Linked DNA regions of Xenopus tropicalis. The protein of the gene in region 2 purifies or fractionates together with the protein of the main gene of each other region. This does not show direct contact. Links are inferred from orthologs where the notes say so. Each region holds a gene or a part of one and is shown on either strand. Other genes may lie near its edges.

The links.
Region 1: the proteins of sin3b (region 2) and arid4b purify together in Homo sapiens (affinity purification with mass spectrometry; 3 studies listed by BioGRID and IntAct, with this or other methods). This does not show direct contact. The link is inferred for Xenopus tropicalis from reciprocal best matches to the Homo sapiens genes SIN3B and ARID4B.

Annotation. Positions count from the first base shown.
Region 1 is NC_030681.2:55,881,232-55,884,886, forward strand, and holds part of arid4b (AT-rich interactive domain-containing protein 4B), read right to left. Parts: intron 3,070-3,655; coding exon 2,962-3,069; intron 524-2,961; coding exon 311-523; intron 1-310. UniProt on the Homo sapiens protein: Acts as a transcriptional repressor. May function in the assembly and/or enzymatic activity of the Sin3A corepressor complex or in mediating interactions between the complex and other regulatory complexes.
Region 2 is NC_030677.2:111,954,681-111,958,435, reverse strand, and holds the start of sin3b (paired amphipathic helix protein Sin3b), read right to left. Parts: upstream 2,259-3,755; 5' UTR 2,186-2,258; intron 2,173-2,185; exon of another isoform or gene 2,036-2,172; intron 1-2,035.

The DNA of each region.
Region 1 (3,655 bases), on a different chromosome or scaffold from region 2:
ACCACAGTGTAAAGCTAGACTGACAGCATTATTTCTTATTGGCTTTAATGCAATCTTGCTTCTAAGTATCCCAAAAACACTGTGTCAGCTTGCCAGACTACTACTGTCTATAGACTTGCATTGCAAGTGTTTGTGCCAGCACTGACATTTTCCTGAAAATACAGACCAGCTATGCCAGATGAGCACTGACAAAAGCTTTTGCAGGACAACCGTGGCTGCAGTTTTACATACACCATTACATTTAGAGAAAGGCTGGCACATAAGCATTTGCCAGTAACAGCATCCTGAATCTTCTTAATGGGACACCTACACATTTGAAAACTCCATTTGTAAACTTTAGGAAGGCGATCGGCATATTCTTTCTGAAATGTATCTTTTTCTCTGTTCTTGGCATATTTTCCAGGAGAATGCACTCTGAGTGGAACTTTGGTAGGCTGTGATTTTAAACCAACATTTGGTCTTTCCGACTGCATCTTAGTAAGGCTTTCACCTCCAGAAAGATCTTCACTATCACTTGTGTTGGCTGCCAAAACACAAAAAAAGAAAGCAGATAAAACTATATCTTTATTTTTATCAAACTGTCAAGCGTCACTCTGAAAACCAATAATGCAAATATGCTTTAAATTTACAGTAAGTATGATTTATGGAAGCACAGTTCCAACTCTTTAGTCAGCCAAATAGCTGACATACATGTTCTTGATGTTGTACACCGTCTTTGAATCCCCCTTTAGGGGATTATAGGCAGGTGGCTATAAAAATACATGGGAGGGCCATTTCTAGCCAATAGGACTCCAGAAAGTCCTGGTGATTGTAGCAAGCTGGATTACCAAACAAAATACAAATGGTGTTTATAGTTTATTCTTTGTAACTGTCCAGCTATTAACTTATTATCAGCTCTCAAATCTTACATTTAAGCAGGCTCTACTATTTATTGATTGTGTGTAAAACTTTTTGCCACTATATTTATATCTGTTTTCTAATATAAATAAATTCTAAGTATAGTATCTATGTGCATTCATTTTATGTATGTGTATTTTATTCCGTTATCTGCCTGTTTATGTATGTGAAAGGGATGGCCTTGTAGAATATAAGACTATAATAGATACACACATGTATTGGTCCAGTTATCCAAAAAGCTCAGAATTACAGAAAGCCCATCTCCCACAGACTCCATTATAATCAAATAATTAAAATTTTTAACAATGATTTCCTTTCTCTGTAATAGAGAAACAGTGCCTTGTACTTGATCCCAACTAATATATAAATAATCCTTATTGGAGGCAAAACAATCCTATTAGGTTTATTTAATGTTTAAATATATTTTTAGTAAACTTAAGAGATGGTGATCCAAATTATGGAAAATCCCATTATTTGGAAAAGGCGAGGTCCCAGGCATGGTGGGTAACAGGTTCCATACCTGTACGTACCTGTGTGTCCTTCATCATGAACCTATCGTTTCCTAGGCTTCAGAGTTTACATTTCTGTACCAGTCCAATGACTTTTTCTATTGCCTTCATGATAATTCTTTATCATAAGTTAATACCAATGTGCAAGGGGCACTGCTGGTATAAGGCGAGTTTAGAAACATGCCTCCTGGCAGGTTACCAGGGGTGGCAAAAAGAGCCAAAATTCTGATTTTTAAACACTCTCTATTCTATTGATGCAGCCCTCCCTCTCTCCCCTCCGACACAAAAAAGCTAAGCACGCGAGGAGCGAGGGGGGTAGCCTGAACCTGGGCCACGAGGACCCCTAAAGTCGCGCTGCTAAGGTGTACTGAATCAAACTTATTCTATCCAGATCAAAGAACAGGCAAGGTGGTCATCAAAATTTTTTGGAAATAAAAATCAGTAATTTTCCTTCACCATATGTGCTTGCCCACCTTCATCAGAAAACTAGCAAGACTGGGGGAGCTGATCTGGCACTGTAGATCAGTGCTGTCCAACTGGCGGCCCGCGACCCCCCTCTGTGTGGCCCCCCCCACTTGTCTGGCTGCTTTGATGGCTTACCTTTGTGTAAAATTTAAATGCTATCAGTACTGAGATTAACTGCCCCCCCTGCATGGTTCTCACCTCAGATTGCTTAAACATGTTAAACCCTGAACTGTTCACACATTTTAATCCCAGCATTGTTCACACCTCAGTCTCAGACTGTGATCACCCACATTGTTCACACCCGTACCACCCCAATGCAACCACAGCCCTTTAGCAGGGAAGATCTGTGCCCCCTAAGAAGCCGCAGTAGTTCCCCATATATATATTATATATATATGATTAATTAACACAGATAATTAATGCATGGCATATTTGAAACCAGTGCTATTAGCATCAGACTTTAATCATCAGCCCATTAGGATCAGCTTATATGAAAACCTCATTTTCTTTGCTTGATCATTTCTGACAACTCCTAAGCTTAGCTTCTCAACAGCTGCTCAGAGCGCACTGAGCATGTGAGTGTCACAGACACTTGTAACAGAAGTGTCCAGTATGGTCACCCCACTATGAAAACTTTAAAGCACTGGATTATTACTACTATAGATATGTTGAACCTTTAGACTGGTTCAATAAATTCATTATATAAAATATGGCATTTCTAGCCATATTCAATTTTAGGTTTAGTTCTCCTTTAAGTACTAAAGGATCATGTTGACAGCACACCTTCCTAAATGAGTTACGAAATGAAACCACTGTGTTATAATAAAGGATAACAACACTTGAGGCATACCTCAGAGCTGCAGTAAAGGCCTATGTTATTTGCTGGCTCAAGCTAGTTGCCCTTTTATTAATATATTTTTCATTTGCTTATACTGTAATACTGTTTATGCTTTTTTCATGACAAACAAATTATTATTAACTCTTTGTTCTTAAAATATTTCTTCTGGAAAATAAACATTAAATAGTATTTTAATTTACAATTTTAATACTATTTACACTAAAAATTACACTATATTAATTACAAACTTACTTATTTTTCTTTTCTTCTGAAACACTGAAGATTTGTGGCTTCTTTTAAGTTTCTTTGAACTATTGTCTCCCACATTAACAGTCTGATCAACTGCCTGATTGGTGTGACCTGTTTAAAGAAAAGGAGAGATAACATTGAACAAATAAAGAGCAATAACATAACAGCCTAAAGATGGCCATATACGTAGCAAAGATCGTTCCCACCCTCCACTGACATTCAGGGCTGAATCGTCAGATATGGACTTAGAAACAATAGAAATTCTACCTCCACCTGCCGATTCAGCCCCAAACATAGCCCTAGACCAGTGTTCCCCAACCAGTAGCTGGTGAGCAACATGTTGCTCACCAACTACCTTGGATGCTGCTCCCAGTGGCCTCAAAGTCGGTGCTTATTTTTGAATTTCTCGTAAGAAGGCAAGTTTTGGTTGCATAAAAACTTAAAAACTATAAAAACCAAATATAATGCCACATAGGGGCTATTAAGTAGCCAATTATAGCTTTTATTTGCACCCCCAGGAACCTTTTTCATACTTGTGTTGCTCCCAAACACTTTTTCCATTTAAATGTGGCTCATTTATATAAAAGTTTGGGGATCCCTTCCCTAGACAGTGGATATCTGCAGCCTTTGCGATATTGGTCGCCTCTTCGAGCCACCATATACGCACCAAATATCATACGAAACAAGGTTTTGTACG
Region 2 (3,755 bases):
AGAAATGTAATTCATCTTGCACAATTAAAAAATACTTTTTCATGTTTTAAAATGATCATTTTCATTGATAATTTTGCCCAGGATTTCATAGTTTAAAACAAAATAATTAGTTAATAGAGATACAGACATTTACAAACAAATTTATAGAAGAGCCAAGAGCAAGTTAACACCTGTTCCATCAAATCAATACTTCTACAAGCTTGAAACACAATGGGCCTTATTTATGGATGATGGACAAAATAGGCACTTTGCATTTGAGGGCTAAGGGTAATGTCTCATGGGGAGATTAGTCTCCCACGATAAATTTCTGCTACAGCAGGCGACTTCTCTCTCCTTTCCACCGGCAACAAAGTAATTTGCCTGTGGAAAAGCGTAGGTGCCTCTTCATTTTCTGATGTTGCATGAAGTTGCCTGCATTAGCCTTAGTATGTTGCTATTCTCAAAGATTTTATCTTATCTGTTTTTTTTTTTTTTTTTTTTATGGGCGATGGTGATGGCAGATTGTATCAGTGCCTTTAAGTACAATGGTCTTCGTTTGGGTGCTTAGGGTGAAGACACAGGGAGCTACTTTTAGCAGCTACTTTTTCATGGCTACTAAACACCAGAAGATACCCTGCCATAGACAATGCTGAGAAGTGCCTAAAGGTGCCCATACACTATAAGATCCGCTCGCTTGGCGATGTCGCCAAGCGAGCGGATCTTCACCCGATATCCCCACCTACGGGTGGGCGATATCGGGTAGCAAGAAACTTAAAAAAAAAATACATTTGTGGTTATGGGGCAGTCGGTTCGGGGACCGCATCAACGAGCCGATGCGGTCCCGGATCCGACTGGATTTTCTAACCTGCCCGATCGAGATCTGGCCAATTTCAGGCCAGATATCGGTCGGGCAGGCTGCTCTGTTCTGCCCATACACGGGCCGATTAGCTGCCGAATCGGTCCAAGGGACCGATATCGGCAGCTATAGTCGGCCCGTGTATGGGGACCTTAAAACACATGTAGATACAATTATCAGTAAATGGTCAGCATTGTCTACTTTAGTAGCCACGACAAGTAGCTGCTACTAGTAGCTCTGTGTCTCTTCACCCTTAAACTTGATGGTATAGCCTATATTTCAATAGTTTCAAGCATCATCACTGCGCCCTCCCTCCTCCCTCCCCCCCCCCCCATGGCAACTGAATAGTCTGCTCAGGTATTTTGGGCTCAAGGCAATCATCCTATAGCCCAGAAGCTGTATTTAAACAACAAATAGGACCTCTGACAGCCTTTGGCTTATGGTGGGATCATGCTTTTTCTAGTTTAAAAAACAACACCTATATATACACACAAAACATTTTCCAAAGGTTTAAATACCTAACCAAGCAGATTTCTTTGCATCGTCAAACAACCCCTTTTTTTTATCTGAATTGCTTCTAAGGGACTCACATCCCTCTAGCAATTAACAAAAACACATCTCTGCCTCAGTTATTCTAGTTTCACCCCATGGGCACCAGAAAGAGCATCTTCTTCTTGCCCGAGGCATATGAAACTGCCAGTAGACCAAGTAATGAGCCATTTTATCAGGGGTGGCCGTAACACTGTCATTTTTTTTTTTTTAACAACCTAAGGAAAGCAGATACAGACTACATTGGAATACCCCCCTCCCCCTAACATGCACATTGTGTACCCATAATAAGGTATGCTGATGAACAAGATAAGCAGCACAAGCCACTATGTATGTGATGGGGGCTACACACAAAAATGATGTTGCAATGAGGGAGACAATAAAGATATATAATGCTACAGGAAAAGGAATGATCGAGTTATGATGTAGTCAAATCCCTTTAGCACTTTACAACAACGGGTATGATAGAAGAGCGCATTAGAAGTGACAGGAGCAGATTAGAACCTGGATATTAATTAGAATTGGGTCACGAAGTGAATGGCAATAGACGCGACGCTGGAGCGGGATGTTAGACGAGCTGACTGATAATACACAGCACACACAGAGAGACAGGAGAAAAGTACGTGTAATTTTGTATTTCTGCCGACTGGCCTGGTTTATCATCGCGCCCCTTTCTCTATTTCAACCCCGAACGAGTAAATCATTCGGCTTCAACGCAGTCTTCAACACCGTGCGGATCCAGCCCACCCTCTGCACTGCAATCAAAGCTGAAAAGGATGCTGAGACATTTGAATTATTTACCAAGATTGAGCAATGGAAGCAACGTCCGGTGATACATGAAGGAAGGTTTCCCATGATCCGTACCTTGCGTGCGCGTTCCAGTGCGCGCCCACATATTCCGGGCGGCGGGGACGCACTCGGCGCAACCATCGCTCTTAACCATATTCTAACGCTGTGAGAGTGAAGGGCCTGCTGTGATGTCAAGATCACGTGATTTGGCGACAAGGGGGGGGAACTCGGCTAGGGTACTGGGTCAAAAAAGGGCGGGGTTAATTCCTCTGGAAAGGAAGTAGGAAATTATGCACGCAAGCGGGACGCTCAAATTAATGAATGAAGTTTTCAGCTCCCTCTAAAGGCATTTATAAACTGCAAAAGATCGGTCCACTTGCGTATTACACATATCCAACTATACTTAGTGCGGAAAGCATTCCAGCCAATCAGTGAATAGATTTCTTCCCGGCTGACTGCGGGCAATTCAATTAAAGCAAGCATATGTTGCTAAGGGTCAGTGCCCAGCAGGTGTAGATTTGCCCAGTGTTGCTTTATGTCACTCAGTTTTATTTATACTGTCAATGAGCAAAGTAGTATGTGAGCAGTAACCTATAGCCAAATACAGCAGGCTTTACAAAGCTTTTAACAGCTAGGTGTGAACCCTAAAGTATAATTATTTGGGTAAAAATAGATTGGGGAAAGAGGTCCAAAATCTGTTAACGTCCAGGAAAGTTGGATGGGGTTGACTTGACAGCTCTGTATCATTGATTGCTATGGTACATTGCTGTAGTGTGAATATGACAATAACTTAGAATCCTAATTGGAGCTGTATTCAGCTTGTTTTCGTTTGCTAAGCACTGGAAACAGTTATAATGTTTAGGGAAGCTTGTAATTGTATGTCAAACAACCAGCCTCAACCTGTGGTATTTGTGCTTAGTAATAGCTCTATAATCATGGCTTAAATAATACAGCTGTAGAAGCAGGCATAGATTTGTGGAAAGGCCTGGGCCTAGGGTGGCACACTATGCTTCCACGTCTGCACTGGGTGCCCAGTGCTGCCAGTAGGAGCTAGCGACTGAGAGCAGGATTGGGAGTGGATAGGTTCAAATGAGCATGCACATGTCTGTGGCCTGTATGTGTGCGTGGGCTTGTTTCAGTGGGCTTTGGCAGCTGGCTTAAGGGTATTCAAAAATCCAGTCCCATGTAAAAAAAATCCATAGATTTGGTTTGTAAAAATAGGTTTAGAGTCCCAGGCTCTCTCATCCTCGACCTCCCCCTCTCCTCAATTGGCATATGCACAAAAGTCTACAGTTCAACGAGCCGATGCGGGGAGCTACCTTCTGAGTATCTCAACACGCCTCTTGGCAGCAGCGCCCCTAGTCCAAGACTTTTATTATGGACTTACCCAGATCTGATATAACCAATATTTTTATGATAGTCAACAGATGTTCGAAATGGTTCATTTTGTTCCCTTCAAGAAGCTTTTTTTTTGCTGCTTCTTTCTTAGCCTAATCTGACCAAGCACTTAGTATCCTGAATTCTTCCCAGCCTATTGGCAGATTTTTGCTATTATATTAAGATGTGCAATAAATTAATCTAT